Linked DNA regions of Oryctolagus cuniculus. The protein of the gene in region 1 binds, or shares a complex with, the protein of each later gene. Links are inferred from orthologs where the notes say so. Each region holds a gene or a part of one and is shown on either strand. Other genes may lie near its edges.

The links.
Region 2: the proteins of OPRK1 (region 1) and PDYN are in contact, whole or in part, in a cryo-EM structure (PDB 8F7W), measured with the Homo sapiens proteins. The link is inferred for Oryctolagus cuniculus from reciprocal best matches to the Homo sapiens genes OPRK1 and PDYN. Residues at the interface, in NP_000903.2 of Homo sapiens: Thr111, Gln115, Trp124, Val134, Ile135, Asp138, Tyr139, Met142, Lys200, Glu209, Cys210, Asp216, Tyr219, Lys227, Val230, Phe293, Ile294, Glu297, His304, Ala308, Leu309, Tyr312, Tyr313, Ile316, Tyr320; in NP_001177821.1 of Homo sapiens: Tyr207, Gly208, Gly209, Phe210, Leu211, Arg212, Arg213, Ile214.

What each region holds. Positions count from the first base shown.
Region 1 is NC_091437.1:78,045,388-78,051,355, forward strand, and holds part of OPRK1 (kappa-type opioid receptor), read right to left. Parts: intron 2,374-5,968; coding exon 2,021-2,373; intron 1-2,020. UniProt on the Homo sapiens protein: G-protein coupled opioid receptor that functions as a receptor for endogenous alpha-neoendorphins and dynorphins, but has low affinity for beta-endorphins.
Region 2 is NC_091442.1:27,669,827-27,675,794, forward strand, and holds part of PDYN (proenkephalin-B), read right to left. Parts: intron 2,246-5,968; 5' UTR 2,227-2,245; coding exon 2,104-2,226; intron 899-2,103; coding exon 269-898; 3' UTR 1-268.

The DNA of each region.
Region 1 (5,968 bases):
TTGAGGTTCTGGCTCCTGGCTTTAGCCTGATCCAGTCACAGCTGCTGCAGGCATTTGGGGGAATGAACCAATATACAGGAGTTCCCTGTCTCTTCCTCTTTGTGTTTCAAATGAATTAATTAATAAGAAAGAAAGAAAGAAAGAAAGAAAGAAAGAAAGAAAGAAAGAAAGAAAGAAAGAAAGAAAGAAAGAAAGAAAGAAAGAGAAAGAAAAGAAGGAAGGAAGGAAGGAAGGAAGGAAGGAAGGAAGGAAGGAAGGAAGGAAGGAAGGAAGGAAGGAAGGAAGGAAGGGGATTTTTTTAGGAAAAGGATACGTGTCATCATACATGTGTACAAACCCACAGAATGTATAGCCCCAAAAGTGAACCCCAGTATAAACTCTGGGTGATAATGTGTCATTGTCATTCATCAGTTTTAATAAATGTCCTACTCTGGTGGGAGACATTGATAGTCATGGAGACTGTGCATGTGTGAGAGTGGGAGCTATAGGGAAACTCTATACTTTCTATCCAACTTTGCCATGAACCTAAAGCTGCTCTAAAAATTTGTCTATAAAAACCATGCATCGGCCGGCGCCGTGGCTCACTTGGTTACTTCGCCTGTAGCACCAGCATCCCATATGGGCACCAGGTTCTAGTGTTGGTTGCTCCTCTTCCAGGGCAGCTCTCTGCTGTGGCCCGGGAGGGCAGTGGAGGATGGCCCAAGTGCTTGGGCCCCTGCACAAGCATGGGAGACCAGGAGGAAGCACCTGGCTCCTGGCTTCAGATCAGCGTGGCGTTGGCCATAGCGGCCATTTGCGGGGGTGAACCAATGGAAGCAAGACCTTTCTCTCTGTCTCTCTCTCTCTCACTGTCTAACTCTATCTGTCAAAAACAAAGAAAAGAAAAACATGCATCATGAAAAATAAGCTATGATTTTAGTGCCAGCCCTTTTACTGTTACCTGAAAAGTTCTCACCGCACATATTCAATTTTCTGTTCTCACAAGTATCATGAATATCCCCAATAAACTGGAGCATTTAGACTCCTGTTGGAGCCCCCAAATAATATTATAAAGTCCAGAGTGACTGTTCTACTCCCCTCCCCCCAAGTGAATTTCTATTAGAAACAGAGATATGTCCATAGTTTTCTCTCTTTCTAGTAAAGTAAAATCCTAGAACAGTAGTTCTTATCTTGGATGCAGGCCAGAGTCATATGATGACATATTAAATGTCCTGACATCCATGCCACACTAGTTAAACCAGACCCTCCAGGGGCTGGACTCCAATAGCAGTGTTTTCTAAAGTATCTAAAGGGATTTCAATGTGCAGTCCAGAATAAGAACTACAGGGAGAACATCAATCATCCTATTTCCATGAGGCAAGAACAAATATGTCCAAAACAGAATGATGTTGCCCATCTATGGGTAACATCAACTTTTGAAGCTGGCTTTGAATGACCTACAGACAAACAACAAGACAGTGGTGTGGAGAAATTCTTTTAGGAAAAGGAAACAAGAACCTGAATAAGCATCTAATGAGTTAGGTTCCTCGTTACAGAGAATGAAAAGGAGTGAGAAGTTGTGCCTGGAATCTCTAGGTTGTGTTCCAAAAGTGCAACCTTATTTACTTGGTCTTCACCCCTCCAGACTCTGAGAAGCACTTCCAGAACAGAAGAGCCGAGCGCCTGTGTTCTCGTGTTGTCCATATCCTACTCTGTGTTCAGAGGAGGGAGAGACACAAAATCGATGTGTTTTCCATCTTCACAGGTGTAGGGGTTCTACGATGGGTCCTCAAAAGTTTTGTGGAAAAAATGTATTATTAAAAAAGAAACAATGCATGAATTTCAAAATATGTTTGCACCAAACTAAACTTGCCTTTCAATTCAAATTTTCCGTGAACTGTTTTCAACTACGCTTGTATTTACATAACTCCTTCCCACTCTCTTTTGACTTTTTTCTTTAGTTGTGCTCTGTTCACTTCTGAATTAAGTCTGTATGGTCAGAAGTCATTTTCACAAACAGGGTGAAAATGAGAGCACTCACCTTCCCTAACTTTGGTGCCTCCGAGGACTATCGCGGATATGCCAACAGAGGATGACAGCAGCCAAATGCAGATATTGATCATCTTGGCCTTCAAGGGCGTGCGGAAGTCCAAAGCCTTCACAGGGTGGCACACAGCGATGTAGCGGTCTACACTCATCATGGTCAGGGTGAAGATGCTGGTGAACATGTTGTAGTAGTCGATGGAAATGACTATCTTGCACAGCACATCTCCAAATGGCCAGGAATTCATCAGATAGACTGTGCTCTGGAAGGGCATGGTTGTAGTAACTAGAGCATCTGCCAAAGCCAGGTTAAATATGTAAATGTTGGTGGCAGTCTTCATTTTTGTGTATCTAAAAGACAAGAGACAATAGCATTTTCCTCTATCCTCATGTAAAACCCATAAAGTAAATAGCTTTGGATTATTGTCTTTACTTTTTCATTCACTTATCCTTTACATGTTCACTGAGTGTCTAACATGTAAAATAACTGTTCTAGACATTTAGGGTAATAAGAAAAAAGATCTATGACTTTATTTAGCTTTTATTCTAGGACTTTGTTCAAAAATATTTAAATTAAAAAGACATGGAACTGGTTCTGCTGTTTGAGATGCAGGCATCCTACATGCGAGTGCTGGATGGTGTCCCAGCTGCTCTGCTTGGGATCCAGATTCCTGCTAATGTTCCTGGGAAGGCAGCACAAGAAGGCTTAAGGTTTTTGGCCCCTGCCCCTCATCTTATTTGGAAGACCTGCTTGGAGTTCCTGGCTCATGGCTTTGGCATAGCTCAGTCCTGCTTGTTGTAGATACTTGGGGATTGAACCAGCATATGGGGGACTCTGTCTCTCTCTCTTCTTCTCCCTCCTCCTTTCTCTGTCACTCTGCCTTTAAAAGAAGTACACCATTTTTAAGTCAAACAAGATAACATAGATAGATACATAGTTGAATATGCAGAAAGATCCTTTCAACAGACTTGCATGTAATGTACATTTTATTTTGTGGATTACAATTCATTTTGACCCAATGTTGCTCAACTTCAAGCATTTTTAAATACCTTTTTTGCTTTCTTTTGTGTAAGACAATAATAAAACATTTTTTCCTCAGGGTTAGTTTGGAAAATCAATCATTACAACTATAATGTTTTTTAATGCAAATAGTTTTCAATTTTTAAGTGTATAAAATTTCAGTGGCTAAAATACAATTAGGTATATTGATTTTTGTTTGCTACTGTGCCACTGGTTTGTAATTTAAAATGTATTACCTAAACAAAACAGCCTGAGTTCTTCTTATAGCTGTCATAGCACTAAATGTAGTCCAGTAGAGTAGGTGAGAAATAATTCTATCTTTCTTTACTCTTGAGAAATTTTTTAAAAAGAGAAATTTTTAAAATATATCATTTGTCTCATCTTTCTTTGGAAGGTACAGTAATTTTCAAGGTGGATCAGAAAGATTCTTTATAAACTCGAATCATTCTTTCCATTATAACATGAAGTTTAGAACACTTTTCCACCGAAACTGAATTAAAAGGATGGCTTTGTTTAGAGAATGCTTCCTCTGAGATCTATAGAGCTTAAACATTCCAGACTATACCATCAGATTTTCAGAGGTCAAGAACCAAAGTATGTTGGAAAAATCATTATGTTAATTACTTCCTAAATAATTCGGGTTTGTAGACTTTATCATAATTAATTCATCTATGTCCATTCAACACAGAAATTTCCATGTAAAGAACACTTCCCATTTACTGAAAGCGCATCCCTGGCTCCTCTTGGAGGCAGTGTGGTTTAATGTGAAGTCTAACAGTGCTGAGCCGAAATTCAATATATGACTAATTCGTTAAATAAGGACATTAAAACCTAACCTGCAGTACATGATATCCAGGCAGTAGATGGCCTAACCCAAAGTATCTTACCCACAGTATTACACTTTGCCCTCAGCACCCACTAACCCTTCCTTTCCATCCAAGTTTCCCCTTTTCTTCCTCTCTCCTTGTCAGGAAGTGGATGTGTTTGTGATGAGATGGGAAGGCACTGAAACTGAGTCAGGTTGGGAAGATGCCTCATTCAGCCAAACCCCTCCCAACTTGCTTGTATCTACCTCCAGCTCCAAACCAATCAGGAGCATTCATACTCTAACCACCATAAAAGACTCCTTATGCCTAATTAGTGACTTCCTCAGCCAGCTTACAAGCCCACAATAGCCCTGTGAGACCCATATATAATCTTCTTAGGTGGCAGTAGTGAGCAACACTGTCAATTTGAGTGTGTTGTGAAGCAACTGCACCTACACAGAACATGGAGCTGAGTTCAAACTGAAGAACTGTATGCAAAAGAATACAAGGCAGAAACAGAAAAAGCACAGTCACTCCTCCCCAGAACAATAAAAATTCCTGTTCAATTCCCACTGGGGAGCCAGTACCATGCTGTCTCCATTGTGTGGGAGCACAAGCCTCCAGCAAACCTTGTCTGGGTTACATGTTGGTCTCTTGTCAATTCAATGAAAAGGCAGCCAAAGAACTTTGGTCAATATCAAAAACACAGGTATTGGAGTGAGGAGTGAGGAGCTTATGTAAAAATATATTTTGACTGTACATATTTTATTTACACATTATTAAATGACCCATAAGTTTTAAAAAGTGACTTGATAAGTATGGCCAAGTGTCACAGCATAGACTTTCAAAATGCATAGGTATACCTAAGCAAGTGTAGTTACTGCAAAAGAAGTAAATGCTTCTGAGAGACATTGAAAAATGCTACTCAGAAATTATCTTCTTAAATATGTAGTTTTATGTTTGAAAAATACATTTTATAAAACTTATCTTCTACTCTTTCAACTTCCTCCAAATAAAAATCTAGCAAAGATTCCAACAGGCAATATCTTTCCTATCACATCTCATATTTTGTGGCCCTGATATCCCCTCTTTCTTTATGAAGTTATGTTGGCATTCTTTGCTTTATAAAGTCAGGCAGACTTGGGTTCTAGTCCTCATTTTTCCATCCATTGAATGGGTAGACTTTAGAGAGGCCACTAGCCATCCTAAAATCTCAGTTTCTCCAAATGTAAAGTGGAAAATATAATGCTTATCTCATAGAGTTCCAAAGATAATGAACTACAGTTGAGCCATAGAATATGCCTGATATATTTCATTTTCTCATGTGGAGGGGAGCTGCTAACTAGCACAGGAATCAAAGGGAGACATAGTTTCTAAGTCACTGCCATGATCACATTTACCCAATTCAGCTTGAATATAAAAGATGAGAGTAAAAATGAAAGCTGGGACCTTACACACTGGAAAAATATGAATAGAATGATATACAAATTACCATAAAATGTAGTATGCATCTCTGAGTAATCATAAAATGTTGAGTGATAGCTTGTTTCTGGTTTCTCAAAAAATTTCTAAATAACATATGAAAGAAACTTCCCATGTCTTGAATTTACAAATAATTCAAATTCTGTCATCATTGCTCAGAATAAGCAGAGTAAACATGGGCAATAATCATTACTAACTGTATATTTTGAAAAGCTCCCTGTGTTAGGCACTTCGCTGTACTCCTCAGCAGTTTTACTTCTTTAAACCCAAACAGTAAGTCCATATGATAGATGTTAGTTCCTCTGTTCTATAGAAGAAGCAACTCAGAAGGCTGTCCTGAACATTCTCAAAGGGATCCCATGATAAAAAGTTTAGCAGAAATTCAGACCGAAGTGTTTGATCCCTATTGCTGTACTCTTACCTCTACTCTGCCCCACACTTTATAATTTACAAAGTCTGGTATTTGGACTTTTGTGTATGTGTCATACATGATTCTCACAAAGAACCTTCTGGTTGACCCATATGTGTGTCTTTTTCCCCTCACATTTTTGAATAAGGTTATGTTCAGTGCGTTAGGTGAGGTTTGTCATTTCAGCAGAGACAGGACCTCAAGGAAGCTCTGTAAGGAATATCACAG
Region 2 (5,968 bases), on another chromosome or scaffold:
GGGGTGGGGGACTCACCTGAACAGGGCAGGAGAACCAACCTCAATGGCCTCTGTGGGTGGTGGTTTCAGAGGTGGAGCCAAAGCTATTAGGGAGATGACCTCAACCCTTCCCACACTGTACACCCAGGCAGAAGAGGGGGAGGCTGGGCTTGGTTATGTTGTAGGCAATGCTGCACTAAGTGGCGGGAGGAAGGGGGGGAAGGTGTACACAAGAGGATGGGAAGGTGTCAGGGGAAGCTCTCAACTCAACTCCGTGCTGGGGAGGTGTTTATGCATCGAACAGCTCTTCAGAGTAGGCATCGGGGTCCTCCTGAGACCGGGTCACCACCTTGAACTGGCGCCGGAGAAAACCCCCGTAGCGCTTCTGGTTGTCCCACTTGAGCTTGGGACGGATGCGCCGCAGGAAGCCCCCGTAGCGTTTGTACAGGTCCTCGTGGCCCACCCTCTCCCCCTCCCCAGCTGCTTCCGAGCTCCTCTTGGGGTACTTGCGCAAAAAGCCGCCATAGCGTTTGACCTGCACCTTGGGGTCCTCCTCTTGGAAATCGAGGCCACCTGCCTCCACAGCGCTGTTGTGCAGCTGAGCACCCCCCGTGAGTTCAGATTCTGCTCCCTCCCCAAGCCCACCCGAGAGGCCCCTGAGTTTCTCTTCCAGGCTCTGGCTCAGAGTGTTTTCCTTTGTTGGGGTATTGGGGAAGAACTGCCTTGTCTCCAGCTCCTGCAGCAAGGGCCCTGTGAGCTTGGCCAGCTCACTATAGGGCTCTTCCAAAGCCACCTTGCTCTCCACGTCTTCATTGCCATTGAGCTGGAGAGTGGAGGGGGTGAGGAAAGACAGAAAGCCCTGGCATCTCTCCCATTCCTCAGAGGGCAGCAGGGCAGCCTGGCATTCCAGGGAGCAGATCTGCAAAAGACCCCAGAGACCACAGCGGTAACATCACCCCCATCAAACCATGCAACCCTGCACGTCCCCACCCTGGAGCCCTCTGTCAGATGCCTGAGAAGATCCGAATGAACCACATTGCTAAGCACTGAGATACCCATTGGTGCATCAAGATAGGTGGCTGTGTGACCATGTGAGGGTGGAGAAAACAAATTTGCAAAAGGACAACAGTGTTCCCAAGGGCACAAGCACAGGTGCAATGCCTGGAGTAGAACCCAGAGCCCATCAAACTCTGAGATCACCCTGCCTCTTCCAGGGCAGTGAGTGGTTCTCCCTACCCTTCCCAGGTGTCAAGAATGCTGGTCACACGGTGGAGAGAGGCACAAAGGGACACAGAATGGTAGAAAGCACGCAGGTGAGGGCACATGTGTGGGTTCCTCGAGCCTGGGGCTAGGGAGACAATAGTACCTACTTCATAGGATTGCTGGGAGAATTGAATTGTGGTGGTGATGAGACGACATTGGTATTGGCCAAGGTGCCCAGTCCTGGAACATGAACCCAGGCAGTCCAGTGCCATGAGTTGTCCTGCTTTCCTGAGAGCATGTTTGGGCAGCCTCTCAGTTAGCAGGGGCTAGAATTGTATATTGAGTACTTTCCATCACGATCTTAGGGAAGCACCCCCCATTTTGTAGATGATGAAACCGAGGTTCAGAGAGGGAGTTCCAGGGTCATGGGGCAAGCAAGGGTCAGGACCAAAGCCTGTGCTGTGTCCACTACATCCTTGGAAACTCTACCCCGCCCTTCTGGTGGGAGCCTGATTCAGAGCAGAGCTAACGAGGCTGGGTCGACAGATGCTAAGACTCAGGAGAGAGGTCAGGCTTTGACCCTGCCAGGCAGGTCATTCGGGGGTGGTGGACACAGTGCCTGCCACAAGAGCGACAGGAGGGGCCCATCAGCCCAGCGCTGAGAAGCCCTGGAAGTTCATCTAGGGCTGCTGTGTGCAGAAGCCAGCAGCTCATGACTGGCACTCCTAGTTGCCAGGCACCAGGCTCCATGGAAACCTGCAACATGGCCTGGGTGAGGTCTGGGGTGGGAATGGGAGCTGGACAATGGCAGCCCCCAGAGCCCAGGCTGTCCACAGGGCAGAACAAGCCCTGCCTGGTGGGCCAGTCTCCAAGACAGGCACAGCTGCCCAGGCCTGTGACCTCTCCTTGCCTGCAACGCACCAGGGGGTTGATGGGCTTGGGTCCATCCTGGGTCTTCACAGCACACAAGGAACACCGGGACAGGCAGTCTGCTGTGGCCGAAGGGAGCGCGAGGAGGCAGGCAAGCAGCACCGGCCACGCCATTCTGTCTCCGCTCTTGCAGCTGGGGAGGGAGACAGAGAAGATTATGGAGTTTGCCATCACCACCCTGGGGTGTGTCCTGAGCCCGTGCACTCGGTTCTTAACCTCCTGCTAGCAGTGCCGCAAGGCCTCCCTCGTGGGCCCAGCCTATAGCTGAGAAAGCAGAGGCCCGGAGAGGTGGAGTGGGTGCCCAAGGCCGGGGATGGAGGGAGGGAAGTGCCGAGGGCTGAGTGCCTGCCCCGTGCTGGGAGCTTCCCCGTGCGCTCGCGCTCAGCCTGCTCTTCGAGGTGCGCTGTGCTGTCTTCATTGCAAGCTGGGGAAGCTGAGGCTCAGAGATGCGGAGGTGACTGCACGTGCCCAGGAAGTGGGCGAGCCAGGACCTGACCTGGGCCTTGTCGGACCTCAGAGCCCACACCAACATCCGCCAAGCCAGGACATCATCGGCCGCATCCTCGCCTGGGCTCTCCGAGGCCCCCTGCTCCCCAAGCTGTCCCAGGCCAGTCCTCTCTGCTTTGTAAAGTCTTGGGATTTGCCTTCTGTACCCCAGCACCGCTACTGCCCTGGCCGTGGGTCCTCCTTGCCCGCCTCTCCATGCCGGCCTCCCTGCCTCCAGTCCCTCCCTGACCTTCCTGCCCGCCCCGAAATGCCCTTGGCAGCCTAACAGTTTTGTGATCAGAGCCCTTGGGAAGGGCCAGGACTGGCTGTTCTGCTTAAATGTCAAGAACACCCCCAGTCTCATCCTTGCACCCCAATACTTTAGCTCTGGGCTCCAACCGCATTTAGCTACTTGCAGTCCCCCAAATGATTGCAGCAGGCTCTGTCTCACCCTGGGCCTCTGCATACACTGGAAAACCTGTCCCGCCTCTTCTGTCTGTCACTGCAATTAGATGAAACTCTCGCTTCCTCCAGGCAGTTCTCCCTGATCTCTTAGGAGGGCTGAGCTGCTCCTATTCCACACCCTGCAGCTCTTCCAAGAAAACCACCCACAGCCTGGTGCTGAGCTGTGTGCACCTTTGGACTTTGGTTCTACAAAGACAGGCACCATGGTTTTTCTTCTCTGTAATCCTTGCTTGCTCCTACTTCAGGGCCTTTGCACATTCTGCTCCCCTGTCTGCAGTCCTGTGACCTCAGATTTTCATGTGGTTCACTCCTTCGTACCCGTTAAGCAGATCAATTACCCCATCAGCAGAGAAGCACCCACCGCTGCCTGAGTCTAACGTGGCTGCCTCCTTCCGTCCCTCTCACCTCAGTCCCCGCCCCACAGCTTCCCATCAACTTGATTTCTGCTGCTGGCAGTGGTGGTGGTGGCCATGGAAGCCCCCATGAGAATGTTAGCTTCTCAAAGGCACGGGTCCTGCCTTGTCCCCTGCTGCACCCTAGCATCTAAGTCCCTGACCAACGCAGAGTAGGTCCTCCGTAAACATGTGGCAGATGAATGCAGGCTTCACAGTCTGTTAAAAGTTGCCCCTTTTAGGCCGGCGCTATGGCTCACTAGGCTAATCCTCCGCCTGCGGCGCCAGCACACCGGGTTCTAGTCCTGGTCAGGGCGCCGGATTCTGTCCTGGTTGCCCCTCTTCCAGGCCAGCTCTCTGCTGTGGCCAGGGAGTGCAGTGGAGGATGGCCCAAGTCCTTGGGCCCTGCACCCGCATGGGAGAAAAGGAGAAGCACCTGGCTCCTGGCTTCAGATCAGCGCAGTGCGCCGGCTGCAGCGGCCATTGGGGGGTGAACCAACGGCAAAGGAAGACCTCTCTCTCTCTCTCTCTCACTGTCCACTCTGCCTGTCAAAAAAAAAAAAAAAGTTGCCCCTTTCCTGTTCAACTCTTTATAAATCCTTTATCAAGATTCAAATGGGACATATGCTGTTCTCCCAACAGGGAGGGCAGGGTCCCAGCAAGGCCCCCGCCCCCTGGCTGCTGGGGCCCCGTGCCCTCCCAGTCTGGTCTGTGTAGCCGGACGCCCCTAACTCAGAGATGGCCGTTTCTCCTTCCCTCCAGGGTCCCCGTTCCTGCAATCTGTCCTGTTTACTCAGGTACTCAGGGGTTCAGAAGATTCCAGCCCACCTGCCCAGAGCCCCACACTGTTGTCCAGAGCAAGGTCTCCCCTCCAAAGCGCAAGTAGGGTCCCTGACTGGAGCATGCGCAGGAACGACCCTGTCGCCATTTGTTGAGCCCGTACTGCCCAAGCCCCCAGGGGGCACTGTCGCATTTACTGCTCCCCCGTTAGGTAGGCGGGTCTCACGCTGGGAGACACCTGCCTGGGTGACTCCCCACCTACTGGCTCTGACTTCCGGAGAGACTTTGGGTCATTACCAGCTCAGCCCCACTGAGATCCAGGAGCCCTCGGCTTGTACATTTTACTCAATCCACTGCCAGTGGCCTGAGGTGGGTGAGAATGCTGGGGCTCGGAGGGGCTTGGCCAATCCCCCGGGGTCACACAGTGATTTAGGGGAGAGCTCAGGCCCGTGAGCCTCCCTTGAGTCTGGACAACATCAGCTCCATGGAACAGAGAGGCTCCGAGTAGGAAGCTCAGGGCAAGAGACCTGCGTCTGCCTGGGGTCTCTCTCTTGCCCTTGGCTTTCACCCTTGCTGCACCTGCTGCTGAGCCGAGGAGGGTTTCAGGCCAGCGAGCTACCGTGGAGACGGACAGCAGGCGGCTTGTGTTTTCTCTGATGTTGGCGATGCCTGGGACAGCCTGGGATGAGTCTGGTGGTGATGGGAGGGCATTTGGTGCCGCAGCACAGACACTGCGTGGGACACCCACACCCACATCACAGCACCTGCTCTGCGTCCCAGCTCCTCTGCTTCCCAGCCGGCTTCCTGCTAATGTACACCCTGGGAGGGGAGGAGGCCGGTGACGGTGCGAGCGCTGGGGCCCCTACCACCCATGTGGGGGATCCTGATTGAGTTCCTGGCTCCTGGCTTCAGCCTGGCCGAGCCCTGGCTTTTGTGGGCATGTCTCTCTGTCTCATTGCCTTTCAAATAAAATGAAAAAAAGGAAAGATTGGGTTAGCAGTGAATGAACCCACAAGACCTGGGAAGCCTGCTCCAGCCACTAACTCCGGCAGGAGGCCTCCCACACGGCTTGTCTGTTTCTGTAGGAGACCCAGTCTGAGATCTCCAGTCCAGGTAAAAACAATTGTGGGCAACTTTTCCTTTCATCTGTTAAGTCTGTCTATAGCAACAATTCCAGCAGATCTGGGTATCGGGTAAGAGGTTCCGAGCAATCTCATGCCTTAATTCACTTCTACTCGCAGCAACTCAATGGAGAGAATACTATTACCATACCCAATTTACAGATGAAGAAACTGAGGTAAGACGCCAGCCAAGACTCCAAAGCAAGCAAGCAGCGATGCTGGGGTCTGTGACCAGATAGTCTGGCTGAAGGGGCCTGAACCTCTGCGTGCCGGCCAGACCCCTTCAGTTGCCCAGCTCCGACCTCCAGCTGCTCCCCGCAGGTTTCCACACTAGCCCCCACCAGGTGGAAGGCCTGCTGGGCACCAGGCTGGGCTGAGCGCCCCTCATTCCTCCAATCTGGAAGCAGCCACCAGTTCTCAGGAGCCTGCTGGGTGCCAGCCAGCCCTGGCCACTTTGTGCATTTTTAGTTCCGAATCCTCACAGTCATACAAGAGATGGGTGTTCTTATACCCATTGTGCAGAGGGGTGAGACTGAGGCTGGGAGAGGGAAACTCGCAGGTTCAAGCTTGTGCCTGGGAGAGTCGGGCTCCTGATAAGCAGCTTCCTCTGTG